Linked DNA regions of Macaca fascicularis. The protein of the gene in region 2 purifies or fractionates together with the protein of the main gene of each other region. This does not show direct contact. Links are inferred from orthologs where the notes say so. Each region holds a gene or a part of one and is shown on either strand. Other genes may lie near its edges.

The links.
Region 1: the proteins of NCL (region 2) and POLR1C purify together in Homo sapiens (affinity purification with mass spectrometry; 3 studies listed by BioGRID and IntAct, with this or other methods). This does not show direct contact. The link is inferred for Macaca fascicularis from reciprocal best matches to the Homo sapiens genes NCL and POLR1C.
Region 3: the proteins of NCL (region 2) and RPL8 purify together in Homo sapiens (affinity purification with mass spectrometry; 3 studies listed by BioGRID and IntAct, with this or other methods). This does not show direct contact. The link is inferred for Macaca fascicularis from reciprocal best matches to the Homo sapiens genes NCL and RPL8.
Region 4: the proteins of NCL (region 2) and NCBP1 fractionate together in Homo sapiens (co-fractionation; 3 studies listed by BioGRID and IntAct, with this or other methods). This does not show direct contact. The link is inferred for Macaca fascicularis from reciprocal best matches to the Homo sapiens genes NCL and NCBP1.
Region 5: the proteins of NCL (region 2) and NAP1L4 fractionate together in Homo sapiens (co-fractionation; 3 studies listed by BioGRID). This does not show direct contact. The link is inferred for Macaca fascicularis from reciprocal best matches to the Homo sapiens genes NCL and NAP1L4.
Region 6: the proteins of NCL (region 2) and RRP1B purify together in Homo sapiens (affinity purification with mass spectrometry; 3 studies listed by BioGRID and IntAct, with this or other methods). This does not show direct contact. The link is inferred for Macaca fascicularis from reciprocal best matches to the Homo sapiens genes NCL and RRP1B.
Region 7: the proteins of NCL (region 2) and MYBBP1A purify together in Homo sapiens (affinity purification with mass spectrometry; 3 studies listed by BioGRID and IntAct, with this or other methods). This does not show direct contact. The link is inferred for Macaca fascicularis from reciprocal best matches to the Homo sapiens genes NCL and MYBBP1A.

The regions. Positions count from the first base shown.
Region 1 is NC_088378.1:128,003,578-128,008,032, forward strand, and holds the start of POLR1C (DNA-directed RNA polymerases I and III subunit RPAC1), read right to left. Parts: upstream 3,035-4,455; 5' UTR 3,014-3,034; coding exon 2,945-3,013; intron 2,818-2,944; coding exon 2,746-2,817; intron 787-2,745; coding exon 679-786; intron 421-678; coding exon 288-420; intron 1-287. Other genes in the region: protein YIPF3, read left to right, coding at 3,319-3,399, 4,035-4,241, 4,429-4,455. UniProt on the Homo sapiens protein: DNA-dependent RNA polymerase catalyzes the transcription of DNA into RNA using the four ribonucleoside triphosphates as substrates.
Region 2 is NC_088386.1:127,382,774-127,387,370, forward strand, and holds the start of NCL (nucleolin), read right to left. Parts: upstream 2,851-4,597; 5' UTR 2,710-2,850; coding exon 2,692-2,709; intron 1,836-2,691; coding exon 1,719-1,835; intron 528-1,718; coding exon 47-527; intron 1-46. UniProt on the Homo sapiens protein: Nucleolin is the major nucleolar protein of growing eukaryotic cells. It is found associated with intranucleolar chromatin and pre-ribosomal particles. It induces chromatin decondensation by binding to histone H1.
Region 3 is NC_088382.1:154,500,627-154,504,960, reverse strand, and holds RPL8 (large ribosomal subunit protein uL2), read left to right. Parts: upstream 1-1,484; 5' UTR 1,485-1,510; exon of another isoform or gene 1,511-1,631; intron 1,632-1,735; 5' UTR 1,736-1,746; coding exon 1,747-1,884; intron 1,885-1,966; coding exon 1,967-2,108; intron 2,109-2,392; coding exon 2,393-2,611; intron 2,612-3,408; coding exon 3,409-3,524; intron 3,525-3,737; coding exon 3,738-3,896; 3' UTR 3,897-3,931; downstream 3,932-4,334. UniProt on the Homo sapiens protein: Component of the large ribosomal subunit. The ribosome is a large ribonucleoprotein complex responsible for the synthesis of proteins in the cell.
Region 4 is NC_088389.1:60,478,913-60,482,727, forward strand, and holds part of NCBP1 (nuclear cap-binding protein subunit 1), read right to left. Parts: intron 2,297-3,815; coding exon 2,189-2,296; intron 1,811-2,188; coding exon 1,689-1,810; intron 1-1,688. UniProt on the Homo sapiens protein: Component of the cap-binding complex (CBC), which binds cotranscriptionally to the 5'-cap of pre-mRNAs and is involved in various processes such as pre-mRNA splicing, translation regulation, nonsense-mediated mRNA decay, RNA-mediated gene silencing (RNAi) by microRNAs (miRNAs) and mRNA export.
Region 5 is NC_088388.1:2,908,710-2,912,983, reverse strand, and holds the start of NAP1L4 (nucleosome assembly protein 1-like 4), read left to right. Parts: upstream 1-1,271; 5' UTR 1,272-1,372; intron 1,373-1,498; exon of another isoform or gene 1,499-1,819; intron 1,820-4,274. UniProt on the Homo sapiens protein: Acts as a histone chaperone in nucleosome assembly.
Region 6 is NC_088377.1:3,393,114-3,396,928, forward strand, and holds part of RRP1B (ribosomal RNA processing protein 1 homolog B), read right to left. Parts: intron 3,107-3,815; coding exon 3,087-3,106; intron 1,815-3,086; coding exon 1,683-1,814; intron 1,085-1,682; coding exon 360-1,084; intron 1-359. UniProt on the Homo sapiens protein: Positively regulates DNA damage-induced apoptosis by acting as a transcriptional coactivator of proapoptotic target genes of the transcriptional activator E2F1.
Region 7 is NC_088390.1:4,642,296-4,646,676, forward strand, and holds the start of MYBBP1A (myb-binding protein 1A), read right to left. Parts: upstream 3,066-4,381; 5' UTR 3,006-3,065; coding exon 2,808-3,005; intron 2,640-2,807; coding exon 2,544-2,639; intron 1,403-2,543; coding exon 1,319-1,402; intron 1,220-1,318; coding exon 1,145-1,219; intron 1,044-1,144; coding exon 936-1,043; intron 1-935. UniProt on the Homo sapiens protein: May activate or repress transcription via interactions with sequence specific DNA-binding proteins. Repression may be mediated at least in part by histone deacetylase activity (HDAC activity).

The DNA.
Region 1 (4,455 bases), on a different chromosome or scaffold from region 2:
AGCTGAGATCCGGCCACTGCACTCCAGCCTGGGCGACACAGCGAGACTCCGTCTCAAAAAAAAAAAAAGAAAAAAAAAAAAAGAACTAGTAAACATCTGAGTGCCAGCACTATGCTGAATGCTTTACATATGTGTCCCATTTAATTACGGCAAACTTGGGAAGCCAAGGCAAGTGTTCTCACAGATGAAAAACACTGATGTACAAACATAAGTAACTTACCCAACATCACAGTCAACCAGGATTTGAACCCAGACAGTCCACTTCTCCCAAAATTTCATTTTCTTACCTTGATTCCGATACTCAAAAAGACGGGGATCAGCATGAATGGGAATGAGCCCCAGACGGTGAGCAAGGATCTCATCCTGAACAATGGATGTATTATTGTACACCAGGACCTTCTCCACAGCCATAGTTGGCACCTGCCCAAGGAAAAATAACCACTTATCTGCAAAAACCCAACAGACCCCCTACCTATCCCCACAACCCCACCCTCCAGAGGTAAGGAGCTATCTCTCTTCCTAGAATGTTTAATGAGAAATTTACAAAGAATGAGAAGGTAAAATGCTCAGCAAAATTCCAGGAAAAATGAGGGAAGGACAGCTTGAGACAATTCTCCAAGTGAGGTGTCAGTGCAGTTCCCAAAGCAACTCCAGCCTTGTCACCATGCCTGCCAATACCTCAGCTAACAGAATTCGTCGAAAAGCATTGGCAATGGCTGCGTCAATTCCCACCATGTCGAACTCCAGTGAGTTTTCATCCATGTGTACTACATCCACACGGAAATTCTAGAGGGACAGGAAAAACATTTAAGTGAAACCTGCTCTCTCTGTAATATCTCTTCATACCTCCCCCTTAGATAATTCCCTCAAGTATTATCCTCTCATCCAAAAACCTCCCTTTGCCCAGATGTCCCTTATTAAATATTCTTTCTCGCCCAGTGCTTTAGTTTCATAAAAAGTCTCCATTTTTGTCGTCCATTCATTAAAACCCTATGCAATATGGCTTCCAACCAAACCATCCACAGAAGCTATTCCACTAAAGAACAGAAACTACCATAGTGCTTAGTCCTGTTGACACTACCCAGTCCTCTTACTAGACTTCTGTTATGCTTGACATTGATTAAAAAACCTCCTCTGGGCCCAGCACGGTGACTCACACCTGTAATCCCAGCACTATGGGAGGCCGAGGGGCGGATCACAAGGTCAGGAGTTTGAGACCAGCCTGGCCAGCATGGTGAAACCCCGTCTCTACTAAAAATTCAAAAAATTAGCTGGGCATGGTGGCGCGTAGCTGTAGTCCCAGCTACTCGGGAGGCTGAGGCAGGAGAACTGCCTGAACCCAGGAGGCGGAGGTTGCAGTGAGCCAAGATTGCACCACTGCACTCCAGCCTGGGAGATAAGAGTGTCTCATGAAAAGGAAAAAAAAAAAAAAAATCCCCTTTTTTGAACGATTCCCCTGGTTTCTGAGCTCCACTCTTCTTCCATCTCTGATGATCAACTTCCACCCATCTCTAAATTTGCCAGGTTCTTGTCTCTCTCCCAGGTCACCTTAACTGTACTAACAGTTTTAGCAACTATCTGTTCTGACAACTCCCAAAATTTTATCTCACTTCTGATCTCATTTCAAGCATGCAGTCTTCTAGCCTGCTAGATTTCCCCACATACAGAAAACAATGCATCATCATCCCTGTTCCCCAGACCCATTTCTCCTCTTAGTAAATGATACCACAAAGCAAAAAGCAGTTCCCAAGCCAGAAAAAGTCATTTTATGCTACCCCCACAGCCTTTATCCAAGCAATCATAAATTTACCTTATATTCTTCCTTTGCTCTATTTCTACCATCAGTCTTAGTTCATATCTTCAACCTCAGCTTCCCTTACGACAGATCTGCCTGCTCCATATGATCCTCCTCAAACTCATTCCCTCCCAGCCATCAAGGTTGCAAATCTGATCATGTCTGCTTAAGAAACTATTCAAGCTCCCTATCATCCACAGTGTGACACACTTCAATCTTGCCGACCACTCATGCCAGAACTACTTGGACATTCCCGGAGCACATGTCACAGAAGTCATAATTTTTTTTCAAGCATTAGCCTTTTTCATTGTTCATACTTTATTCCTTGTATCAACAGGTTAAAAAAGTAAAATTTTCCCAGGCACTGATTTACACATCATGTTTATAAGCTGCATAAAGGGTAACATTTAGGTCAGTTGCATAAAGGGTAACATTCAGTAATCTATTTAAATGCAATTTTAACCCTTATTTTAAGCTAAGTGAAACAATAATACAAAAGACTAAATACACACAAAACCTGCATATCCTGAACTTCACTGACGTGAAACTCAAATCTTTCATAATTCAACTCCTGTTTTTTTTTTTACTTACCATTCAAGGTTCAATTCAGGTGTCCCCTCCTCTTGAAATGTTAAGTACCTCTCGGCCCCTCTTCCTGGTCTCAGCGGAATGCTCCCCACCCCAACCCTGCCGTCTTCATCGCTATCAACCACCTTCACCATATTACACTAGATGCACTTGTTTATACGCACCATTCCTCAACAAGACGGAATATCTCTGCAGAGATAGAAACCGTGTCTAATTTGGCCTGTAAACGGAGCGTCTAGCACATTGCTCAACAAACACAAACGGAGCGACCCCCAAAAGCAGCTGCTGAGACAGACACAGGCTGCTCAGGCCACAGGGTCTGGCCTTCATAACCCTCCCCAGACAACTTCGGCCCCACTTACCTTCTCGAAGCGGTCCTGGTCCCAGGCATCATCATAACCGGAATAGTTTCCGGGAAAGTCAGTGGTATGGACCTAGAGCAAAGGGACGAGTTTGTCCACAAAGGGACAATGAGCCCACGGCTATCCCCACGCCAATCCCAAGACCCACCCCTGTTCCGCTCTCATTCCTCCCGCCCGAGCTCAAGGCCACAAGGCTTACATTGCGAACCCCAAACTCCCCTAGAACCACGCGGCCCCGCATCTCCTCCACCGCCTGAGAAGCCGCCATCTTCAATCTCTCCACGAGACTGGAGGCTCTATCTGGCGCGTGCGTCCTAGTAGACTGGCTCCGTCTCCGTGGCAACGCGCCACCGCCTGGAATCTTAAATATCGCGAGACTTTTCCCCGCTTCCGTCCACGTCCCCAGCCTCCGGAAGTTGGTTTTGTCCAAACATCCGGGCTTCTCTTTTTTGTGTTCCGGCCGATCCCACCTCTCCTCGACCCGGGACGTCTCCCTCACTAAGGCCCACGTCTCGCCCACTCCTCCGCGCGCGGGGCTAGCGCGGGCTTCAGCGACGGGAGCCTTCAAGGGACATGGCAACTACAGCGGCGCCGGCGGGCGGCGCCCGAAATGGAGCTGGCCCGGAATGGGGAGGGTTCGAAGAAAACATCCAGGTAATGGCCCCAAGGCACTAGCTGCCAGCAACCCGAGGGCCAGCGATGTCCAGAAGTGTCTTGAGGATTCTCCCTGTGGGCCTGGAAGTCCGCTCCATTTGCAAAACTCTCTTCTTTGGGTCTTCGTGCACACTAAAGTCAGTAGGATTAACATTGACCTGAAAGGGCCAGACTAGTACTCCAGCCTGAGGGTCTCGGGTCTCTGGGCCCGCTCGAGGCATTAGGAAGAAGGTATTCTTGGAACAAGTTAGGAAGTTGGTCGGGGTCAGGCATGGAGTGGGGTTGGGTGGGGATTCACTGGCATTCGCTGAAAACATATTATGTGTATAGTTTTGTTTGGGGCTTAGGAAAGAAGGAAATGGGCACTTTTTCAGCCTTTTAGTCTTTGGTAGGTAAGGTAGGAAAAAGACAGGAATGGAAGACTAGTAGTATGTTTCCCAGGCTAGAAAATTCAGCCAAAGCTAGAAACCAAGAGTTCTGAGAGCATATGAGGGGGAATGGAGTGGCATGATCTGTAGTGATTCCGAGCCGTATCCTCAGCAGTGGAAGAACAAAGCCCTAAACCCTGGGATGAGCAGAGGACTTAATGGATGGAACAGAAAAGTCCTGCACTCTAGGAGCCATTGTCTTCACAGGGCGGAGGCTCAGCTGTGATTGACATGGAGAACATGGATGATACCTCAGGCTCTAGCTTCGAGGATATGGGTGAGCTGCATCAGCGCCTGCGCGAGGAAGAAGTAGACGCTGATGCAGCTGATGCAGCTGCTGCTGAAGAAGAGGATGGAGAGTTCCTGGGCATGAAAGGCTTTAAGGGACAGCTGAGCCGGCAGGTGGCAGATCAGGTAAGCATGATTGAATCTTCTGCAGGTGGAAAGGTATACCTAGGTATGTCCCATGTTCTGGAGTTGGTGTTGGTGATGTTTGCCCCAGGTTGTCCAGTTAGAACCATGTAGAAATCAAGCGGAAAATAGGCAACAGGGTCTAGAACCAACAGTCCCACAATACCTATGCCCATCTTCCTTACTTCAGATGTGGCAGGCCGGGAAGAGACAAGCC
Region 2 (4,597 bases):
ATATCTTGCAATCAGAAGCCCAGTAACTACCAAGACAACTCCTTACCATCTTCCTCATCGTCATCATCCTCATCCTCATCATCTTCATCATCCTCATCATCCTCATCCTCTGAGGCAGGGGCAGCAGCTGCTGCTTTCATCACTGCTGGTTCAATTTCATCTTCATCCTCATCTTCGTCCTCATCATCCTCATCATCTTCCTCACTGTCATCCTCCTCCTCTTCATCACTGTCTTCCTTCTTGGCATTCTTACCATTCTTTGCCCCCTTGGCTGGGATGGCAGCACCCTTCTTACCAGGGGTTGCTACCAATGCTTTGCCTGGTGTGGCTCCCTTCTTGCCAGGTGTGGCAACTGCTTTGGCTGGTGTCACTGTCTTCTTGGCAGGTGTTGCTGCTGCCTTTTTGCCTGGAGTGACAGCTGCTTTCTTGGCTGGTGTGGCAACTGCAACCTTTTTTGTTGGGGAAACTACCACCTTCTTTGCTGAGGTTGCAGCAGCCTTCTTGCCTTTCTTCTGAGGTATGACAACCTTGAGAATAAATGAAAACCAAACCAGTAAGTCCAGCCCCACACCCAAAAGGATAACCATGGTCCCAGTGAGTGTTAGATTCTGGCAATGCTTCTGGTTCAAGACCACATGCGCTAGACACATGTTAGCATGTTAAACTCCAGGCTTCTGTTATGTTGTCTTAGGTCAGAGCCCTTATTATCAGGTGAATACCCAGCCATAAGGAACCCTTTTGAACACTTAAAATACCTCTGAACCAGACCTCTGAATTCTTGCACCTCATATTTTCCCAAACCCCAACTTTCTCATCTGAAAATGGTAATAGTATCATATTACACGTATAACAATAATGAATTGCTATGCGTAAATTATTCAGAACCTTACACCTAGGAGGCTCCAAGCATTAACGTATTAAATCATTTGGGGCTCCTATGGTGGATGGCAGTACTGAGTCCAGTGAAGCTCAATTCTTGGGACCTGAGATAAAATGAAGATCAAATAGGCTAAACATAACTATCCCTTACAAAACTATCACACATCAAAGAGTGAGCATGTTAGTTTGATAAAAGCCATCGTTTAGCTACATGAAAATCCCATAGTTTTATTAGGCAATGTGTGGAAGAATAAAACTTTTATTCAATTCTCAACGAGAAACCTGAGCACAATTCAGTGCTCAGATGTCTTTACAGTGAGCAAATAAAAGGCCAGGACTGCCAAAGAGTAAAGAGGGTCAATGTTAACACAAAGAGGTGGCAGCCCTCAGTCTACACCAAAGATAACTATAACGCAGTGAGTAGAATTACAAAGTTTATATATAATGGAATGGAGACCAATTAATCTTAATTGGAGGCTAGGAAAGGAATCTGGGAAGGTTATCCTCAGATCTGAATACAATGCCCAGCTCTACATGTCGGGGTGAGGCTAACATGTTGAAACTGGAAAAATTTAATGATTTAACACAACAAATCACACTCCTTGCCCTGCAGAGGCACATGGAAAGGAGATCCCCAGACCTCTTGTCTCAAACTCACATTCAAATACTTAGCCAAATGACACCTTGACATGTCAGTGAAGAGCTTGTGAAACCACCACTACAATAGGACATACCTGGATGAATAAAATCTTATTTTAGCCACAGACATCCAATTTCATGTCTTAACTCTCCATTGTTGTAGTTTTAACACAATTCTGCATTAAGCTAGATAAAATTACCTCTTCTCCACTGCTATCATCTTCTTCATCTTCTGACATTTCTTCATCTTCACTATCTTCTTCTACCTCCTTTGGAGGAGGAGCCATTTTCTTGGGGTCACCTTGATTTTTACCTGCCTAAAATGGACACAAGTAGGTCATTACACCTCCACCTCAACATTTCAGGCCATTCATATTTTGCCATTACTGTTCATAGTAAAACGCCATCATCTCTCCTTTCTCAGATCCATTTCTCATAGTGCCAAACAGCACAACATCAAAACGAGTCCTGATGGCAATGCAAGATGGACTACTCTCAACCGCCCACAATTTTCCTCCCGGGCTTCACAAACAGAAAACCCGCCCGAAGGTAAGAAGTAACTACCTTGGTTTTCTCATGAACATTATGCTTTTCCCAGCAAGACAACCCCGCCCCTTAAAGAGGCGGCGCGGCCACGTGGGGGTACCTGGTAGGCCACCACGTGCCCGAAACACGGCGCAAAAGGCACGCGGCAGAGCCACCTTCCGGGGCCCACCACGTGTCGGCTTGCCAGGCCAGGACTCCGACTAGGACGTATACCGCCATTTCCTGGCGCAAGGCACCGGTGCCTCTGGAGATTCCAGGACCCACGCGGCGCGGCCCACGTGGCAGGCCGCGCACCCGGGCACGTGCGTCAGGAGTCGGGTCCCGACTCGTATGCGTCGCAGGAGTTTGGTCTCATCTCCCCACCCCGGGGCCCAGCGCCCCCTCCCCGCGCTCAGTAACTCCGTCTTTCCCGCCGCGTTCGCCGCCCCCAGCACCTGCAGAAGCTCTTCACCTCGCCACCAACTAGCCAGAAGCCGCGAGACCTCCCCACTAATCGCGCGAGACTTCCCGCAGCATGGCGCCCTAGAACGCGCCCGGGACTGCGCGCAGGCCCTCCTCCCCGCGCCGCCGCGCTCGCCCCTCGGAGAGCAGGCCTAGACGTCTGCGCTCGCGCTCAAGGCCGTTTACCTTCGCGAGCTTCACCATGATGGCGGCTTATGGCGGCGGAGTGTGGAGCGGAGAAGTGGCGCAGATGAGTCCAGAGGAAGCCAAGCGACGGCGATGGCGGCCGCGGGTGCTGAAGATCCCGGAGCACGTACACTCGAAGGCCAGCGAGAGCTCGAGACTGAGGCGAAAGACTGAGCCTGCCCAGTAATCGCCTGTGGAAAGGCGACGACGGCGCCCTCGTGACTCCGTGCCGACCAACCAGAGCTCGCGGCAGTCCCCCTGAGCCAATCGCGAGCCTCTAACCGAGAACGGCGCGGGGCGGGGAGTGGGCGGGCCGAGGCGGCCACGGGAGGGGGAGGGGCTGGCAGCCGTGCCGTGGGGGCGGGGCTCGCTTTGTGCAAGGCGGGCGCTGATTGGGCCGTGGGCGCGCGGGTCCCGGCCTGCGCCGTGGGACTGGCGTTTTTGGCGCCGGCTGTGAGGGGACCTCGGGGGTGGTGGAATCGGGCGGTCTAGGGATCTCCAATGTGGCTGGCTCCCTAGGCTCGGGCAGCCTTGGAGTTCCTCAAAGACCCCGCGCGCGGCCCCGGCACGCACTCACGCCGGGGCTCCCGGTGGCCCTGGAGAAAGAAGCCCGCCAGCCCCGGAAGTTCAGGGACCGCGGAGTTCCCGTTGGCCCTTTCGGAGGCACAGCTCAGCCCTGCTTGCCCGCGAGCATGGGACTGGAGACACCCCCGGCTGCAGGCAGCCTTCTGAGAGCCGTTAATAAAGGCAGTCGCGGGTCTGTGCGAGGTTTTTCTGTGAGAAATGCACGAACCTCCCCTACCCCACAGAACCTCAGGCGGGAGATACTTCTCGTCATGGGGAACGGCCTCGGAGAAGTAACTTTCTGGCCTCACAGGGCAAGGAGAGGGGCCTGGGCGGGCCGACCGCAAAGCCGGGCCTTTGACCGCCCACAGGTTCCCTGGTTGTTATTTGCGTCGAATGCGCCAATTAAGGTGGTGGCTGCTAAGTCAGTGTCACCAGATGGCTCGGGAGCAGGTCGAGAGCCACCGGCAGGGTTCCCCGGCGGCAGGGCGAAGGAGGCCGGAGTGACTTCCACGGTTAGCTTTGAGGGTGGGCCTCCCTCGATGCCGGGCTTAGCAACAGAGCATTTCCCTCCGTCCAGGGCCTGCCTGGGATCCATCCAATCCATGGGTCCAGGTATGGATCCATCCATACCTCATTGTTCCTACAGAACCAGGATACCTGCAGCTACGGCTGTACTTGTTAAAAATCACCTCAGGCGGGGCGCGGTGGCTCAGGCCCGCAGTCCCAGCACTTTGGGAGACCGAGGCGCATGAACCGGGGAGTCGGGGATTGCAGTGAGCCGACATCGCGCCACTGCACTCCAGCCTGGGCGACAGAGCGAGACTCCGTCTCAGAAAGAAAGAAAGAAAAGTGTTTGTTAAGGCCAGGCGCGATGGCTCATGCCTGTAATCCCAGTACTTTGGGAGGCTGATGCAGGAGGATCGCTTGAGTCCAGGAACTTGAGACCGGCCTGGGTAATATAATGCGACCCTGTCTCTACAAAAAAATAATAATTAGCGGGTGTAGTGGCACTCGCCTGGAGCCCCCAGCTACTCGGGAGGCTGAGGTGGGAGGATCGCTTGAGCCCAGGAGGCGGAGGTTGCAGTGAACCGAGATGGCGCCATTGCACTCCAGCCTGGGCAACAAGAGCAAAACCCCATCTCAAAAAAAAAAAGAAAGAAATGAAAATTATTTGTTAAATGAGGAAGTATTTAGGTAGAAGCAGCAGCAGGGAGAGCTGGCATGGCTCAAGTGGCGTTGCTTTGGAGTTAGTCTGGGGCAGCAAAATAGCAATATCTAACACTTTATAATGCTGATTCAGTGCCAGGCGCTCTTCATATATTCATTCACTTACTCTTCA
Region 3 (4,334 bases), on a different chromosome or scaffold from region 2:
CTTGGTAGCCGCATCTCATCCCAGAGACCCGTGAGACCATCTTGGGGAACCCCACAGCCTGTGTGTCCAAGCACTCTTCTCACCTCTATCCCGCACCCAACTCTCCTTCTGCTCCTGCAGAGAAGCAGATTTGCTCAGGAGTGAGGGACACGCTGGGCCTGTGGGCCAATTTTGGGTTGATCCCAGAACCCCTCACCCTGCCCCTGGGGTCCAGTCCTGTCCCTCAGCCCCTGGCCCTGCTGTGGGCTGGGCTGCTTCCTGGGTCCCCACCCGGCAGCTCCTCCTTGATCCCCCTGCCAACCCTAGGGGAGGGCCTCCTTCAGCAGCCCCTTCTCTCCCCTATGAGCAGCAGCGGCCACAGGACACCCCTTCCACCCTCTCCTGTCTCTTTCTCACGATGTCAACCCTGCCAGAGCCCCTGCAGGGTCTAGGAAATACCCCACCTCCCAGTCCTGACTGCAAGCCTCTCCCACCCACTGGGACCCCTGCCTTCACCTCCTTGCTGCCTCCTCATCCACGGCTTCGCCTGTGCTCCGACAGTGCTCACTCAGCCAGGGGCTCTCTCCTGAAAAACCTCTTCCCCACCACCCGCCGCCCCCAGCCTCGGGGTCCCACCCCTTAGGGACCCGATTTCGCGAAGCCCCTCTCCCCAGCATGTGCCGCTGGACACCCCCAGTCGGGCTGACTCTTTCCAGCTCAGGCCCCCACTGCCCCTCCCAGTTTCCATTTCTTGCTCCTTCCCCACCCACCTCTCCCGCACAGAATTTGGTCAGGGTACGGTCCAGTCTCCTATTATTCGTTCTCCCCGCAGCATGTGACCCAGCCCATCCCCGCTCCTTCTTCCTCGCCCCGGGACCCTCCAGCTTGGCCCTCCCCACTTCCTGGGCCGGCCGGCCCTCACCCTCGGCAAGGATCCCCGGGCTCCTCTCCTCGACGCCCGACCTCTCCAAGGGCCTACAGTGGACAAGGTCCCCGCGTCCAGCAGCGCCCGTCCATCAGGGAGACGGTCATCTGCCACCTGCAAACCACGACGTTCCACGAGGGGGTACAAGCGTCTCCCCTGCCCATCTCCTGCTCTGCATCAGCGAGAACCCCTCCGCCTACACGAAAGCCCCTCACCAGGCAAAGCCGGGAGCCCCAGACTCCGTGGCCCGGAGTGGGTCGATCTGTGACGCCCTGCACAGTTCACTCAACCACTCGGCGCCTCCTCGACCACTCAGAGAACACTTGCCCTCCCGGAGACCCGGGTGAAAGCCGAGCACTCTTTCGCTCCTTCAGAGCCCGCGCCAGCAGGACCTCGCGCGCCGCGTCTCCCGGTGCGCCTGCGCGGGGGCCCCAGCGGCGGAAAAGTAGGCAGGGCCGGCGGCCACTGGTGACTACAAGCCCCGGCGTGCACCGCGCTGGACTGGCCGTGGCGCGCCCGGAAGGTGTCGCGGCCCTGGGCCCCGCCCCGGAAGATAAGGCGGCTCGCGTACACCGCGTTTCCTCTTTCGGCCGCGCTAGTGAGCTGGTAGGTCGTGCATGCGGCGCTGCGGCATGGGCAGTATCCGCCGCCATCCTCCTCCTTGAGGCGCGCTGAGACGCGGGCCGGCCCTCCTGAGAGGATGGCGGTGCGGACGCCCGCGGAGAGGGTAGGGGGTGGTGCGTGCGGCGGCCTTGGAGGCGGGGTCCCGGAAAGCCGGGCTGGCGGGGGTGCCGGGTCCACCCGGACGCGCTAACCGTGAGTCGCCCCCAGGACCCATCGCCATGGGCCGTGTGATCCGTGGACAGAGGAAGGGCGCTGGGTCTGTGTTTCGCGCGCACGTGAAGCACCGTAAGGGCGCTGCGCGCCTGCGCGCCGTGGATTTCGCCGAGCGGCACGGCTACATCAAGGGCATCGTGAAGGTGCGGAACGCTGGCCAGGGCGGGGCGGGAGGGGACGGGACTCCCGGCCGGAACGCCGCACTTACGCCGCCCCTGCCCGCAGGACATCATCCACGACCCGGGCCGCGGCGCGCCGCTCGCCAAGGTGGTCTTCCGGGATCCGTACCGGTTTAAGAAGCGGACGGAGCTGTTCATTGCCGCCGAGGGCATTCACACGGGACAGTTTGTGTATTGCGGCAAGAAGGGTTAGCATCGCAGCGGGGAAGGAAGGTCGGGGTGGGGAGAGGTCTGGGTGTTGTCTGAGGAGTTAACGTCTTAAACCGGTGTGGGAACCTCGCAGGCAGAAAGTTGGGGTGGGCCACCGCGTGGCCAGGCCAGTGGCTACGTTGGGCACCGGTGGGTACTCAGAGAGCTGCACCGGGAGGCTGGATGTTGAATGCTGTGCTCGCAACTTCACGGGCTGCTTACAGCGAGTGGGGTCGCATTACCTCTTACCGCGCTGACGGCCTGATGCTGCTTCCCCTTGCAGCCCAGCTCAACATTGGCAATGTGCTCCCTGTGGGCACCATGCCTGAGGGTACGATCGTGTGCTGCCTGGAGGAGAAGCCTGGAGACCGTGGCAAGCTGGCCCGGGCATCAGGGAACTATGCCACCGTTATCTCCCACAACCCTGAGACCAAGAAGACCCGTGTGAAGCTGCCCTCCGGCTCCAAGAAGGTTATCTCCTCAGCTAACAGAGCTGTGGTTGGTGAGTACCAGGCAGTAGTTGAATGCTGAGGGCTGTTGGGTGAACAGGCTGTGAGCGCCGGCGGACAGCCAGTGGCTAGACTTGGTTCCTGGAATTACCTGTTGTTTCAAAATTTGGGTTTTGTAAGTTTGAGGTTATTGTGTAGTCTCAGTTTTCGTCACTGTAAAATGAACACGATAGTACTTGCCTTGCTGCTATTGTGGCGTTAAATGAGATTAGGATTAAGTCACTTGGGACTTGAATTCTAGTTTGGGCTTCCTGATTGCTGTACTTGGTTAACAGCCTTTTCAGATAAGGCAGGGAGAGATTTGTCACTTTCTCAAAATCACCTACTGAGTGAGTGAAGGAGGATTTGAGTCTCGGTTAACTCGCTGTGCTGTTGGGAACATCTTGGAATCCTTGTTACAAACTCAGCCTCGCACAGGGGAGGCCCTGAGGTTGTATTCCTGGAATAAGCAACGCTGAGATGGGGCAGGCTGAATCAAGTGTCCTGTGTCAGGTTGAGTGACATGTCGGATGTCTCAAACATGGTGAGGGGGTTGCTTCCCTGCGCTTGGAGCTCAGCCAGCATTCTGGGTGATGGAGGTGAGGGCCTTGGCTTGACTGCCCAGTGTGGATTGAAGAAACTGGATGTCGGCTCACAGGGTGCAAGGGGCTCTCTAGGGTGGAGGCAAGTGGGCTTTTTGCTGGGTAGTTGGATGTAGTATTGTGAAGGTGCATGACAGGAGATTGAGGAGAGGAGGTGGGGGTGCTCTGACCGACTAGAGGTTCCCTGAGGTACCTGATCTCCTTTACAGGTGTGGTGGCTGGAGGTGGCCGAATTGACAAACCCATCTTGAAGGCTGGCCGGGCCTACCACAAATATAAGGCAAAGAGGAACTGCTGGCCACGAGTACGGGGTGTGGCCATGAATGTAAGTAACGCAGAAATGCAGGATTGGGTATTCAAGGTACCATGGCCACACGAGTAGGCAAGTCCCATCCACAGGTGGCCCTGCAGGAGGGACATCTGCAGTGGGAGGAGCAGTGGGTGGTGGTTTGTAGTCACAGGACTGTTGATCTTGCTCCAACCCTCCTGAAGGAGGTGGGCTCACCCGCATTCTAAAGCCATCTTCCTCTGCCTACAGCCTGTGGAGCATCCTTTCGGAGGTGGCAACCACCAGCACATCGGCAAGCCCTCTACCATCCGCAGAGATGCCCCTGCTGGCCGCAAAGTGGGTCTCATTGCTGCCCGCCGGACTGGACGTCTCCGGGGAACCAAGACTGTGCAGGAGAAAGAGAACTAGTGCTGAGAGCCTCAATAAAGTTTGTCTTTATGCCACCAGGCTGTGCCCACCCCCATAGTTTCAAAGGGAGGGGTCCCTGCTGGGAGGATTTCTGTGGGATCCCCCTCGTTGGTACTGGGAGGAAGGTAGACTACTGGAGTAGACCACCAATGAGTGGTGGAAGCTTGACGGAAAAGTCTACAACTAGAAGTGAGGTGCAGGTACCCTGGGCAAGACCCTTGCTTCCCCACAGAGGGGACCAAGACACTTAGGTGGGTGACTCAGTACCATGGCTTGCAGTGCTTGGATGTAAGCACTCATTTCACGTATGACGAAACTGAGGAACAGGAAACAGGACACAATCATGAGCCTGGTGTTCTGGACCATACCCTCACTCTGCCGGCTCACTGCTAACTTGCTCAGCACCTGAGGCGTTCCTTTGCCCACGGTCTTATGGCT
Region 4 (3,815 bases), on a different chromosome or scaffold from region 2:
AACATGAGATGCTCAGTCACCTTCATAGTTATTAGAATGCAAATTAAAGCAATGAAATAACATTTTACCTACTGGAGCGGCAGATATCAACAGTTTTGATAATGTACTGTGTATCATCAAGACGCAGGTCGAGATTCAGTCTCAAACATCGTTGACAAAGAGGTTAACTGGTATAATCTCTTTGGGAGAGTATAATCTCTTTGAAAGGTAATTTGACTAAATCTATCAAAATTAAAACTGTTTAGAACCTTCAACCCAGTAATGCCATTTCTAAAAATTTATATCCCCCATAAATATATCTGCACGTGTACACAAAGACATACAAAGATATTAACTGAAACATTGTTTATAATAGCAAAAGATTGAAAATAACCTAAATGTCCACCAACAGTAACTACAGAAATTATGGTACATTAAAAAGTGAAATACCCTACAACTATTAAAAAGATTTATGAAGTATTTTTATGCAACAAATCCAAGTTATAGTAAGAAAAAGAAAAAAGCCAAGTGAAGAACAGTGTGTATATTGGGCTATCACTTGAATAAAAAAGAGAAAAGATATGTATACACACACAAAAGATTTTTTTTGAGACAGAGTCTCACTCTGTCGCCCAGGCTGGAGTGCACTGGCGGCACCATGTCAGCTCGCTGTAAACTCCGTCTCCTGGGTTCAAGCAATTCTCCTACCTCAGCCTCTCGAGCAGCTGGGATTACAGGCACCCTCCACTACGCTTGGCTAATTTTTGTATTTTTAGTAGAGATGGGTTTTCACCATGTTGGACAGGCTGGTCTCGAACTCCTGACCTCAGGTGATCCACCCGCCTCGGCCTCCCAAAGTGCTGGGATTACAGGCATGAGCCACTGCACCCGGCCAAAAGATTCTTATTTTTTAAGCTTCTTTTAACTTTACTTAATAATCAACTAAGTAGCTATTAACAGTTATCCAAAAAAGTACTTAAAAAAGAGAAAGTGAAATTTAACAATAAAATCAATCTGTAAAAACTTAAGGGCCACATAACCATTACCATGTTGCTGGATAGTTAAGCATAAATTTACTAAAAAGACCTATTTATTATCATTGTATCTAACAATCTAAACCAAGCTTTTACATCGGCTTGGGAGAGATGGGTAATGGGAAGACATGTGATTATTTTAATTGAAATGTGTCATATTACTTAAGAAGTACTGCCTGGATGGAAGGTTAAGGACCACTGTTTTAAGAGCTTAATTTAGGATTAATTTACATGAAATAAACACATTGTATGTGCTAGGGCAGTGGTTCTCCACTTGTGAAATGTGTTAATAATACAGATGTCCAAACCTCTCTCTCAAATTGTATAATTTATTAGGTCTGGGGGTTGGGGTCTGAGCATTTAAGTACCACAGGTAATTCTTATCCACGCTAATATTTGAGGAACTATTGCACTAGGGTGTTTTATGTCTTTTATAAACATATAAAAGCAGCTTAAAAGAAGCTATATTACCAACTGTCCTGTGCACTGGCAAAAGTAAGCAAACCATATCTGATTACTTTGAGGTCTCGGTGAGTTAAAACAGCAGGAGAACAGGATTACCTAGAAAATACCTTCAGGAACTCTACAGCTTATTTTTGAGAAACTCAAATGATATCACTGATATAAGATATCCTTTACCTAAGCAACAAAGAGTACTATGAGCTGTGCCCTTACTTAAGATAGCTTTCAGTGTTGGCAAAGATGCGGTCCATCTCTGCATCTTTCTTTTCGTACAACTCCTTTCCAACCCAGGGCAAAGATGACAGAAATGCATACACATACCAATCTCGCCGCACCTAAAGGATTTTTAAAAAGTTAAGTTTAAAATATGCTTTAATTATATTCATTCATATTTTATTTATTCTTGAATGAAATCCTATGGAAGCTATTTAATAGGACTTATGACATCTGGTTTATACAGAGCATTTCCAGATATATTAGTTCTAATCTTACTGGACAGCATCATTTAAATCAACATACAGATATTATGAGAACCCACCAGTGTGCCAGTCAACTTAATTTTTAGATAGTAAGAACTTACAGTGTGATAGTCTGCTGTTTTTTCTTTACTGCTAATGGATTATCAGCGAAAGATTTCTGGTACTATATGGAAGTACCAGGATTCAGTAACCCCTCAAGAGCCCCTCAAGATTCAGCGTGAGGGGTTCTCTTACCTGAGGCACATCTTCTTCCTGAGTTACGCTTACAAAATTTTCAAACATGGCAACCATTGACGGGGCAGCAATCACATGGCAATTCACAAGATCAGATAAAAAACGGACCTGTTGGGGCAAACAATTTCTGCTATTAAATCTAAATGTTCTTCATAATAACTACAAAACAAGCAATCTTCTACAGCCTAAACTATTGGGCTGAAAAACTATAGCCTAAGGGCTGGATCTAGCCTACTACCTGTTTTTTGCATAGCTGGGAACTAAGAATGGTTTTTACATTTTTAAATGCTTGAAAAAAAAAAAAAGAGTATTTTATGACACATACAAATTACATGAAATTCTAGTTTCAGTGTCCATAAGTAAACTTTTATTGCAGCAGCCATGCTCGTTCAGTTACATATTGTGTATGGTTGCTTTTGTGCTACCATGGCAGAATTGAGAAGTTGTAACAAAAACTATATAAAGGACAGCAATCCGTGAGTTCATAGGTTTCTATGCTATATTACATCAACAATCCAGATTGTAAAATATTCTAGCTACTTCAACCTATAAGCTTCTTTTCTGTTTGACTGTAATTTTTACTGAATTACAGAAATGCAAATTACAGAACACATTTATTGGGTGTGCTCAGTGTGCTATTGCTAAACACTACTAAAAGTCAACTGTTAAGGGACCCATTCTAGTGGAACAAGCACAATCTCAATACAAATGAGTGACTCCCACACTAAAAGGCAAATTAAGTGTTTTTGGGAACAATGACAAAGGGAGTTGGGGAAAGCATCACAAAGGAGGTAACAATTAGGCTAGATCATAAAGGATAAGCAATAGTCTCAAGTAGTGAGCAATGAGGGCAGTATAGGCATACAGCTTCAAAAACAAGGTGTGTTTTGGGATCTGCAAGTTATTTTGATATTGCTGGAGAGTGTATGGGAGACAAGAATAGAGAAACACACTGGGGAAACCATAAAGGGTCAGGCTAAAGAGTCTGGACTTTAACCCTATAGCCTGATCGGTATCCAAACTTTTTTGATTGTGTACTCAGTAAAAAAGAATTTGATCACATATCTTCAACACATACATATTTATTTATGATATACACTGGATCACCATTAATCTATGTATTATTAGTAAGGCTTAATTTCATTTCCACTTAAGATAAATAAGAGTTCTCAATATTCACTTTCTGCAACCCAAGGAATCATCTTGTGCACCAGGCTTTTAAGACCACTCACACTGCCATGGGAAGGAACTAAGGGTTTTTTAACCAGTAACCAACATGTGCAGAGCCTAGTTACAGAAAGACCAGTCTGGTGCCACTGTAGAACACAAAGTGAAAAACAGAATCTAGATGCAAAAAGATCAGTTAAGAGGCTATTAAGAACATCTGGAGGAAGGCATAAACTATGCTAGAGGCCCTGGAGACCAAGACAGGACAGACTTGAGAGAAATTAGGGAGACAGAATTGACAGGGATTGGGAACACCTATGGTACAAGAAGGCAAAGGGAAGACAAAAATTAAAGCTCAGCTTTATAGATGGGCTATTCAGTACACAGTGGCCACTGTATGAGCTGGGGAAAGGGCAGAAAAAAGGAGGTATGAATGCTACATTAATTTAGGCACTTCCTG
Region 5 (4,274 bases), on a different chromosome or scaffold from region 2:
TTTACAGGCCTGAGCCATGGCGCTCCACATTAAATTCTTTTTAGAAATGAAGTTTCACTATGTTGCCCAGGCTGGACTTGAATTCCTGGGCTCAAGGGATCCTCCTGCCTCAGCCTCCCAGGTTACCTCTGAGGTTTATAACTGACGCTATGTTCTTAATCCCTCAACCAGAAGCCTTTAGATGGTTACAAATTTTCCCCATTACAGGCATGACTTGCTAATAATAATAATTAGCAATTATTTCAAAAGTAACCTCACCCCCAAAAAAAGAACGTTTCTGAAAAAATGCACAAAAGACTTGAAGACCCCCAATGGCACGGTTGAACATGGAAATGACTAGCCTCAAAAGCCCCCAGCGCAGGGGTTATTTTCCGATCAAATCGGATGTCTTTCTACAAAATGTGATGTGGAGAGGCTGGGGCTATTACCTTCACCCCAGCCCAGGGGGCACCCTGAGAGGGAGAACAGGGTGGGCGAAACGGGCCAGCTCCTCCCCAGCCCCCCGCCCTGCTCTGCTTCAGGGGCCTGATCTGAGGGCCCAGTGCGCACTGTTTTTCCTCCTTGTCCGACAGTGTTTCCCCCAGGCCAGAACTAGGTGGCTGGGACACTGCGGGGCTCAGGGCGTGCGGGAAGAGACGCAGGAAGTGGGTAGTCCCGTCGTGTCCGCGGAGGCGACCCAGCCCCGACCTTTTCGCAGAGGAAGTGTTATCCAGCCTGGGACCTGGGGGATGAGCAGGGGTTAAGCTTAGGTCCCAACCACTAACGGGACTGGTTGAAAACGGCTCCCAGGCGGTGGGGCCCCCCGCGACGTTCTCAAGGAGTAGCGCCAGGGGACGACGTGGGAGGTGGGGTTCTCACACCAGCGGGCGCACGGACGGCTGGAGGCACCGACCCGCCGCGGACGGGATTGAACTAGGGAACTGGGAGGGCGCAGGAGATAAAGACGGCCGGGACCCACGGAGAGAGGTGGTGCCCAGTGTCCCGCGAGGATGCAGTGCCAACTGGGGAGGGTCCCGGGAGCGGGGACCCAGGCCCGCGCAGAACCACACACGTGGTCTGCACCTCGCCCCGCCCCATCTAAAGAGGCGGAGGAACGCAGGGCGAGGGCAGCGCGGAGGAATATTTGCATAAGGCGGGGCGATTCTTCGGTGGCTTCTGATTGGCTGCCGTCTGCGGCGCGAAGCGCAGTTGACTTGCGCCGCGCTCGCCCAATCGCAGCCTGTCTTGCTCGCGGAGAGAAGAGCTAGGAGCCTCGGCCAATGGGAGGCGGCGTTGTTGGCGGCCACGGCGGCGCAGCCCCAAAGCGAGCGAAGCCAGGGTCGCCGCCAGTGCCGCAGGAGGCGTGAGGTGCGGAGACGCGGGTGCTGGGCCGGTAACGGCGGCTGGGGAGGGCGGCTGGGCCGGGGCGGGCGGGAGGGGCCTCGGGGCCGGCGCGGGCGCGGCGGCGGCCATCTCTGGAAGCCGCGGGGCGGTGGGGCAGGGGCGGGGCCGCGTCCTCGTCAGAGCAGGTAGCGGCGGCCGCGGCGGGCCTGGAGCCTGGGGCTTGGAGCTTGGGGCCTGGAGCCCGGGCCTGGGGCGCTGGCGGGCGGCCCCTCCCAACTCCCGGCGCGCCTCTCCCGGCTGCCGGCCCCCCTGAAGGTCAGGGCGCTTTGTTCTGCGCCGCGGGCGGCCTCCTGGGCGGCGGCCCCGCGGAGGAGGCGAAGACGGCTAGAGGCGGCGGCCGCTCAAATCTCCCGCTAGCCCGGCCCGCCCCGCGTGCGGGGGCCGCGGCGGTTACACGGCCGGGCGCGCCGGAGCGTTCAGGCTTCCCGTTTTTAAGGTGGAGACGTCCAGGACCTCTTTATTAGATGTTGATGAATTTGAGTTTTTCCGTAGGGCGATGGTCATCGTGAGCCTCTGTGGGGTCAGGCTGCGCTAACTGGGGTTTTGATGTCAGTTTGGTGTGGCCGAGGGCATGTCTGACGGGGAAGAAAGTCCTTGGCGTTGCTTCTTAGCTGTTGGGAGCTGTGCGGTGCGAGCGAGATGGGCGGCGTGCGCTCCCCGAGGACTGGCCTGAGTAGCCTTAGACTAGTTACTCGCGGGACTTGGTTTCCCAGCCAAGGTGGGCAGCAAGTCTGTTTACTGTTTAAAACCGTCTTTCACAAGGGAAAAGCAAAATCTCCAAAAAAAAAAAAATTGTACATGTTATGAATGGAAAAGTGCCATGCTTTTCTTTCAGTTCAGAGATGGTGAAAGAGGTCACATTTGTATTTTTTGACCTGACCAGTGTCTTTGTTTTTTTCAATTTTCCCCTTCTAAATGCTTTCCGTTCACCCCAGCGAAGGATGGCCTGGTCATGATAAGACTTTTCACCGTCCACAGTTCACTAAGTCTGATTGCGGGGCAGGAGGCAGACAAGTTTAGGGTCCAGGAAAGGGGACTCCAGCCTTGGGACCTTTAGACCCTAACGTGTGTGTCACATCACCTGCCTGAGTGACTCTGCGCTCCTCTGGCAGGAAGGTCCGCCATTTCATTATGTTCTCGGCAGAATCGTCGGGGCACATTCATCTGTGCTGTTCACATACCCAGTCTGCATTACTTTTTCCTGTAGTAATCCCTGTCTCATCTTCCTGCATTAGGTGTACGGTATAAAATAGACTTTTAAAAGTTATCTTACCTTAAAAATATACAAGTATGTAGATGAGGTTGTTGGACCTTAAAGGTAAGTCTTTTTAAGTTACTGCCTTGCAATAGGAACTATATCTCTAAATGACTAATACCTGCACTACGCACCAGGGACTCCTTCAGCCTGTTTGCGTGTATTAACTCATTTCGTAATCTAATAACTTGTGAGATAGATAGTATTGTTTTTCCATTTAACTACTCTGGAAGCTGAGGCCCTAGGAGGTTACGTATAATGACTTGTCCAAGGTGATAAAGCTTAGGTAAAGACTCAGGCAGTTTTAACTTTACCCAGGGTTACTGCTTCTGTAGAGGGAATGAAAGAATTTTTAATCAGAAGTTGTTTTCATCATTGTACTAAGCCTCACTGAACTCTAGCTTACGAGGTTTTGAGCTGGTTGATCATTTCCATCTCAAATTATTCCACAGCATGCCAAATGCCTCCTGTAGTAGAATTTTGAGATTCAGACCGGGATGAGCAATTACTAATAGAATAAATAATATGCAAATGTAAAATGAAGTTAAGAGAAAGGAACGTGGTGATAGAATCGGGATATATTCCAAAGATAAAATGAGTGACTACAGAGAGAGAGAAAAGTTAGTTATTTAGTAGTAGTTCACAAGTTTACTTAGAGACATTTTTACTAGAATTTTAGGGCCTCATGATGTGATTTTTATGGACCGTTTTAACACGTTACTGCTCTTTTTTTTTTTTTTTTTTTTTTTGAGACGGAGTCCCACTGTATCGGCAGGCTGGAGTGCAGTGGTGCGATCTCCGCTCACTGCAGCCTCCGCCTCCCGAATTCAAGCAATTCTCCTGCCTCAGCCTCCCGAGTAGCTGGCACTGCAGGCGCCCACCACCATGCCCGGCTAATTTTTGTGTTTTTATTAGAGACGGGGTTTCACCATGTTGGCCAGGGTGGTCTCGATCTCTTGACCTCGTGATCCACCCGCCTCAGCCTCCCAAAGAGCTGAGATTACAGGGGTGAACCACCGCGCCCGGCCTACTGCTGTCTTAAATAGCTGTTATTACATATCCAGTTGCAGCCTTTTTTTTTTTTTTTCTGGTTGAGCAGTGTTATTGCTTCAGAATGTCTGCAGTTATTTGTGCCTATATGTCATGGCATCTTAACACTTTTGTGAATTTTGTTTTGTAAGCTTTAAATCCGGTACTATTTTTCAAAATGAATATGGAGTAGTCATTGGAGAAATTGGTTGAATTCTTTGCAGTAGCAAATAAATTGTATTCATTTTTAAGTTTGATAACCTTGGTAAACTGAATTCTGCAAAGTTTACACGTGTTTTAGGATCCCCTCAAAATGTACAGGGCATTGTGTTTTGCAAAATAGCCATTTAGCCATCAGATTCTTCTGTAGAATTTTGATCTTTTTGCCCATGTGCGAGGTAGTTCTTATTTGTATGGAGATTAAGTACCTGCGGATGGGATATGTTCATCACCACTTTACAGTATGAATTTGAACTTGAAACTGAAGTGAAAACTTTTCTGTTAACCTGTCAGAGTTTTTAGTAGCCTCTTGTTATTGACCACATATTAATTCCCTATGTTAGTTATTCGAAGCTAAGTGTGGGGACTGAAATCTTTGTTTTTCTTA
Region 6 (3,815 bases), on a different chromosome or scaffold from region 2:
AGCTCCGCCTCCCGGGTTCACGCCATTCTCCTGCCTCAGCCTCCTGAGTAGCTGGGACTACAGGCGCCCGCCACCTCGCCCGGCTAGTTTTTTGTATTTTTAGTATAGACGGGGTTTCTCTGTGTTAGCCAGGATGGTCTCGATCTCCTGACCTCGTGATCCGCCCGTCTCGGCCTCCCAAAGTGCTGGGATTACAGGCTTGAGCCACCGTGCCCGGCCGAACATGCCCTATTCTAACTGCTGCTGAGTCCAGAGACCTGGCTGCCAGCCCCCACCCTTCCTCTCAGGAGGCAGTGGAGCCCCCCGGACGCGTTTGAGCGCCTCTGCGGCGAGCTGGCCTGCGGGTGCTCCCACCTTACCAGAGCCTGGGCTTGCCTGGCTTCGGACTCCAGCGCCCCGTTGTGCTCTACCAGGTCTGACATCGCTCTCATTTTCCTCCTCTTTTTCAAGCTTGCTGTTTTCTGGCTGGACAGGCCACAGAGCTCCAGGCTGCCAGGCCCTGCCTTCTTCTTCTGCAGCCTCCTGCACTGGGGCAGGGTGGTGTGGCTGTTCGCCCTCTCCGCGGGGCCTGTGGGAGGGCCTCCCTGCTGCAGTGGAGGCCAGGCAGGCGTGGACAGGCCACTGCCATTGACAGGGACAACTCCAAGCTTCCGCTTCCTTTTTAGGAGTTGGGCTCCACCTGTTGGGGACCCTCTAGGTCCCTGAGGATGACTGCCACTGGGGCCACTCTGAGACATGTCCTCTGGGGGCAACCCTGCTGATGCCGACATTTCCCTGTGGGCCCTTGGACTCTTCTTCCGTGGTCGTTTCCTTTTATTGTGCATGGGGACGGCTGGAGGATGCTCGGAGCCACTCTCCTCCCCGGTGCTGGACGTGGCCTCTGCGCCTGGCTCGGCCACACGTGCCTTCAGGGCTTTCGGCTCAGCGGCCTCAGACTCCCTGCCCCTGTTCTGTTCCAGGGACGGGGCTGCATCCCCTGGGCCTGGACTTTCAGGCTGCAGGTGGTGCTTCTTCTTCTTCTTCCTTCTTCTCTTTTGAAGACTGCTTTCACTGTCCTCTTCCTCTGCACAAAACACTCTGCTTCCTAAAAACACAGAAACCCATCAATAAGCCTCCCAGTGCCGGCTGGGCCAGAGTCCTGCTGGTGATTCTGAGACAGTATGATTGGCGGACACAATTTCCTGACATTCTACCACCAGGAGAGTTTCTGTCTCCCTTGAGGTACTCAGTGTGCCCACTACCTTTGTCGTCTGGTCCTACTTCCTCCACTCCCAACTGTGACTGGAAGCCCTCCTTTTGTCCATTTATAAACACACATAGAACTGAAATAGTCCGATTTCCACTAATTTTAGGGCCCAAAGGTAAAAACCATAGATCTAGACTGGTCATCAAACAGCTGCCCCCCTTGTGCTCCTTGCAGCTCCTGCTTCCCTGCAGAGGTGCCCTGGGGAGCAGGCGGACGTGAGCGGGGTGAGGTGGGGACATGGTTCCACCGAAACAGCAGAACACTTGGTAAACCACCTTTACCTCTCAGCCATTACAAACCGAAGCTTTGGGCTCTGCTAATGCTTTGTGACGGCATGAGCTCCAGTCTCTGATGCCTCCGTGGTGCACGCCGCTCCCCAAGGGCTCAGTCATGAGCCCTCAAGAGAAGGGCCCTTCTCTTCAGCTTCACAGCTTACCTTTCTCCTTTTCCAAGTTAGTTTTCTCTAAAAGTTTATTTCCTTTCTTCTTATGCTTTCCTTGACGGAGGATTTGGTCATCTTCATCAGCAGAAATGTCCTCCGCAAAACTCAGTTGAGATATACTGCTTCCTAGATGCCAGAGTGACACACTGTCAGCTTCCCCAGGCGCTCGAGAGTCTGCCCCAGGGGCCTAAGAGCCCCCTCCCAATTTCTGCCTCATCATGATCGTTCCTCACTGTTTCTCCCACCCAAACCTGAGCGCCGCTGACACAGGAATTACAGACTTAAAAAAGCTTTGTGGGTTTCTCAACCAAGGCAAGGGATCACAAGCCCTCGGTGACACCCTCCATGGCTGGACTCTGGGGGCCTGGCTAATGTGGTCTCTGCATTCCAACCAGCTCACTGGTGCCCTTCCCAATTCCAAGTGTCCCTAGTGCATGAGGGGTATGGGGTGACTTCACTGACTTGTCCAAACGTAACAGCAAATGAAAGGGATCCTGAGAAATTACATTTTACCTTCACAGAGTATCCAATTAAAACCTTCCTAGGCCACTGCAAATCCATCTAGTTAAAACAATAAAAACCAAACCAAAACATCGCAGTATCCACACATGAGAGCAGTCTGCCCTCTCACTTTGGCGGTTAGGGGAGAGCCCAGGATAGGAAGGTGGGCAAGCTGCAGGGGGCCCTAGGCTTGTGTCACTTCCCATGGCTGTACTGTGGTATGACTAGGTAAGGGCTAGTCTTTCTTTCTTAAAAGCTGGGGTCTTGGCCGGGCGCGGTGGCTCAAGCCTGTAATCCCAGCACTTTGGGAGGCCGAGATGGGCGGATCATGAGGTCAGGAGATCGAGACCATCCTGGCTAACGCAGTGAAACGCCATCTCTACTAAAAAAAAATGCAAAAAACTAGCCGGGCGTGGTGGCAGGCGCCTGTCGTCCCAGCTACGCTGGAGGCTGAGGCAGGAGAATGGCGTAAACCCGGGAGGCGGAGCTTGCAGTGACCTGAGATCCGGCCACTGCACTCCAGCCTGGGTGACAGAGTGAGACTCTGTCTCAAAAAAAAAAAAAAAAAAGTTGGGGTCTTGCTCTGTCACCAAGGCTGGAGTGCAGTGGCGTGATTACAACTTACTGTATCCTGGACCTCCTGGGCTCAAGTGATCCTCCCCTCTTAGCCTCCCAAGTGCTGGGACTACAGGCTCATGCCACCATGCCTGGCTAATTTTTTCATTTTTAGTAGATATGAGGCCTCGCTATTTTGCCTGGGCTAAGGACTATTATTTCTTATTAGAGGTTTTCAGTAAAGTTCTTTCAATCTTGTTTCTCAGCATTTGGCATCAACGCCCCCAGTGGGGTCCATATTCATGAAAAACACCGTGAATGATGATTCTCGGAGCACCTCACCTTCAGAGAGGTCTTGGAATCTAAAAATAAAAAATAAAAATAAAAAAAATTAAAAAAAAGTATCAAATGTTCATAAAGAAATCCCTTCTGTCTTCTGTAGACATATGTATTTAATTTTTAAAATACAAGCCATAGTTAAATATTTGTTAGTTCACGTTCTCCTCCAGGAGGGGAGGCTAGACAGGAAATTCCGTGAGGGAAAGGTGGTGCAATACAAAGGCCAAAAAGCTCAAGGCCAGTGCCGCCCTCGGTTACTGTCAATACCAGCAAGGACATGGCAGGCCAACGATGCACCTTGGCACACCCAAATCAAACTAAGAAATGCAATTTTTTGTTTTGGAAGGCAGAAGTAGCTTAGATCTCTGCTTATGTTCAATTCTCCAGTGGAGAAAGGCAAAGCTGTGTTTTGCTTTACACAATTTTTGTGCATTAGAACAAACAAGAAGCATCGAAGCGCAGTGTGGGCAGGTGCACGGGGGAGGAGACACTGGATGGCAGGGACCTCGGGCAAGCTAGGACCACCCTGTGCCCTGGGAACCCAGCTGGGAAATGGGCAGAACTACAGGAGTTACTTTCTGGGGGCTTAACATGGAATACTTGAATGTATGCAAAGTGCTCAGAGTAGTGCCCGGCTCCTAGAGTGTGATCAGACAGTTGTCACTGATGACAGCAAGCCACGCATGAGGCCCTCCGTGAATTCCAGGTCATCATGTCACTATGGTCAGAGTG
Region 7 (4,381 bases), on a different chromosome or scaffold from region 2:
ACACACAAGGAGCCCTGGGTGGAGAGCTGGGATTCAAATTCAGGTCCTTCCGGCTCTGAGGTCAAGACTGCACAGTAAGCCCCGGCCTGGGACCTGCCAGCCCCTGCCTTTCTCTTCAGTGGCAAAAGGGCCTAGGTGCTACCTTCCCAAGTCGGGCAGTGGAGGCCCACGAGGGGCCAGCCTTGACTAGGATAACAAGGCAAACGTTTTATATATTTGTGACGCGCCAGGCACAGTTCTGGAGTTGCACTGCCCAATACAGTAGTCACAGCCACACGGGGCTGCTGAGCGCTTCAAAGGTGGCCAATCTGAACAGGGATGTGCCTAAGTGTAAAATACACACTGGATTCTGGAGACTACCTGACAAAAAGTGTGTAAGAGGCTGGGACCGGTGGCTCACGCCTGTAATGCCAGTACTTTGGGAGGCCGAGATGGGCGGATCACAAGGTCAGGAGATCGAGACCATCCTGGCTAACACGGTGAAACCCCATCTCTACTAAAAAACAAAAAAAATTAGCTGGGTGAGGTGGCAGGCGCCTGTAGTCCCAGCTACTCGGGAGGCTGAGGCAGGAGAATGGTGTGAACCCGGGAGGCGGAGCTTGCAGTGAGCTGAGATCGTGCCACTGCACTCCAGCCTGGGTGACAGAGCGAGACTCCGTCTCAAAAAAAAAAAAAAAAAAAAGCATGTAAGATACCTCAACGGTTTTTTATACCAATGCATACTGCAGTAATATTTTAGATATACCAGACGAAGTAAAATGTTACTAAATGACACCTGTTTCTTTTTACCTTTTCGACTAAGTCACTGAAACACTTCAAATTATACATCTCTGTATTTCTATGGAACAATGCTGTTCCAGACTCTCATCCAAGCCCCGATGATGTCTCTGTAACGGGAAGCGCTGGCCGAGCCCGCACAGCGGGTGAGCTCGTACCTCGGAGAGGACGTCCAGCAGGGCCTTCCCGGGCTGCTCCTGCAAGTGGTTCTGGTACTGGGCCAGGGCCTGCAGCAGCTTCACGGACTTCATCAGGGCCTCCTGGTCCTGGTCCCCACGGAACGACAGAGGGTATGAACAGGGCACACTACTGTCCCCTACCCATTCCAAGTCAGCCTACATTCCCCCAGCCCCTCCAAAGCTCTTACCTTCACCAGCCGGCCTGACTGAAAGAGGGCGAGTACTCCGAACAGGTTTGCAAAGAGAGCAGGTCTCAGCATTGTCTAGAAAAGGATTCCAGGCACAGGCATGAGGGGCCCTGGGACTCCCCGTTCCCCAAGCCTCCCACCCCTGGGGCTGCTGACGTCCCTGGATCCACTTACCTTCTTCACCTCACACAGGTCATATTTTTCTTGTATCTGCTGCAGGATGCTGCACAACGGGAGGTCCTCGAAAGACTGTAACAGCTGCCAGCAGTTGTGTGGCAGGAGGAAGAGGGGTTCAGGAGAGTGGCCCAGCTACATCTTCACAAACTTTAACCTCCTTTCCCCTTTCAACTTCTCCCAAGAAGCCTCAGGTCCCTAGTCCCACCCCAAGGACGCCTCTGGAGCTGCTCACATGGAACCAAGTCTCATCCCCCTGCTCTGTCTCCACCAGGGCTTCTGAAAGTACTTTATGAGATGGAGTCTCGCTCTGCTGCCCAGGCTGGAGTGCAGTGGTGCGATCTCGGTTCACTGCAACCTCCACCTCCTGGGTTCAAACGATTCTCCTGTCTCAGCCTCCTGAGTAGCTGGGATTACAGACACCCACCACTACGCCCCGCTAATTTTTGTTGTTTTTTTTCTTTTCTTTTTTTTTTTTTTTTTTGAGATGGAGTGTTGTCCTGTGGCCCAGGCTGGAGTACAGTGGCGTGATCTCGGCTCACTGCGGCCTCTGCCTCCTGGGTTCCAGTGATTCTGCTGCCTCAGCCTCCTGGATAGCTGGGATTACAGGCACACGCCACCACGTCCAGCTAATTTTTGTATTTGTAGTAGAGACGGGGCTTCACCATGTTGGCCAGGCTGGTCTTGAACTCCTGACCTCAGGTGATCCGCTCACCTCAGCCTCCCAAAGTGCTGAGATTACAGGCATGAACCACAATGCCCAGCACAAAAGTACCTTCTATAGCCCCTAGATTGCTCGTCTGAAATTCTCACCCACTGGGTCTTCTCTCCACACCTGGTCTGAGCTCCCCTCAGGCTGATCCTGCAGGCCTGGGTCTTTATTGTTCTTCCCCTTGTCAAGGCTCCTCAGAGGGTGGTCTACTGCAATCAGCTGAATGCCTTTGCAGGCCTAAGGGAGCCCACCCAGCGCGCACTGCTCCCAGCAAGTGTACCTAAGAGGCCGGGCAACCCAAGCACCAAATAGAAAACCTGGCCAGGCCTTGCTCACACTTTCTCCACCTTTATGTAAGGAGACCTCCCTCAGGTTGGCCTCCAATCAACTCTGCCACTCCCTACCTCTCTCTCGGGCTGCCCCTCCGCCGCAGCTGATACACCACACCTGCCCTCCTCACACCCCACCGTTTTGACCTGGATGGCTGGGATCCTGCCAGGAGCACCACCTCACCTGTGCCAGGGCCAAACTGTAACACGGCCGGGCTGTTTCTCGCGCAACCCCGAGTCCCGTGATTAGGCGCTTCAGGGCATATTTCATCTCGGACCCCTGCAGAACCAAGCGCACCCTCGTGTTCAATGGTGAAACAAGGTGCACGCCCCCGCGCACCTTGGCATCTAGGTTCGCGACCACGTGCCCCCCGTCCCAAATCCCTGGCCCGCCGCCTCTTCCTTGCCGGGATATGCGCGGCCCCTGCCCCAGACCCCGCCACTCCACCTTCGGCCTGCCGCGCAGATACTCCAGCAGCTTCTCCGTGGCCGCAAGTCGCGTCTCCTGCTCAGGCTTCGCAATGTCCCAGAAGAAGTCTAAGAACTCGCGGCTGTGCTTCAATAGGCCATGGCGGTCGGCAGGCCGGGCGCCACTCTGCGTCGCCTCTCCAGGAGACAGCGGCTCGGCGAGTTCCCTGCTCCCCATCCCCGCCACACTCACCGAAACACAAAACACGTGTGCCCCGGGCCCAGCAGCTTCCAGGTCAGGGCATGGCGCATGCGCACCGGTAGTGTCGGCGCGGAGGCGGAAGAACCTGGAGGGTCGGGGAAACCAAGAGGGGCGGGGCCACCGAGAGGGGCGGGGCCGGGGCGGATGACCCCCCCGAAAGGCGGGGAAGGGGCGGGGCCAGGGAAAGCGGCGTTTCCGCCTTAGCTCTGAGCGGAAGTCCCTAGCTGAGCGGCGCGTGGTCTTTCCCAGCCTTCTGCTCACACCCGTACTTTCCTGGCGGCTGTGGCATCTGCCCCTTTGGAGCCCCTTGGGGGCATTGCTGAGGGCCCATCTCGGAAACAAACCGAGGTGTAGCACATCGATCCGCCTCGTCCCCGATCGGCCCCTGCGCTCCGAACGTTGAGCCATTCAACAATTACTGGGCTCCTGCTGCGTTCCGTGCTAGGCGGTCGGAACAAAGCCGCTGCTCTCGTGGAGGAACACGGAGCCAAATGCATTAAAAAGGATCATAATTATGAAGAGAATTAGGAATGCAATTCTAATTGCAGGAGCTTTTTAAACGCTGGAACGTGAATACATCACCCGTTAAAAACACGGCTAATTACTATTAAATAGGGTCTACAATAATGATTTGAGGGGTTGGTCAGGGGAGGCCTCTGTGAGGAAGTGGCTTTTGGGATGAGAGCTGAGTGACAAGAAGGGCCCCCCTTCCCCGCACTCCTGCAAGTATCTAAGGGGACGAAATCCCAAGCCTTGCGATTTACAAAGGTCCAGGGCTGGAGGGGCTGAGGCTGGCGAGAAGCAAGGTTGCATGGGCCCCGGGCTAGGATTTCATTCTGAGGGTGATGGGAAATCACTGGTGAGTTTAATGCAGGGTCAGGCTTGGATCTGATTTACATTTTAACAAGATGATGCTGGCTGCTGTGTGGGGGATGGACTGTAGGTCTGCGCAGGTGGAAGCACGGGAAGACCATTTAGAAACTGGTGAACTGGACCCAGGGAAAATGAGAACAGGTCAGATTTGGGCTAATGTGGAGCAGGTTGGGGGGGTGATGGATTTGGATGTCGGGGAAGAGGAAATGAGGGGGATGCCAGGTTTGGGACCTAAATAACTGGGTACATTGTGATGCCATTATGGAGAAGAATTTTCTTGGGAGTGGGAGGTGGAGGTGGTGGGACCAAACGGTCTATTAAATCAGAGAAGCCTTTTACAATGGCAGGGGAGGGGAAGTGCTACTTACTGGTCACCGTTGCTTCTTGGTTTGAGAAGCTGTGTATAGAGGGCTGTGGTCCAGAGAGGACCTAACCCTGGGGGGAGGTCAGGGCTAACCTTCACCTTGAATTTCCACATG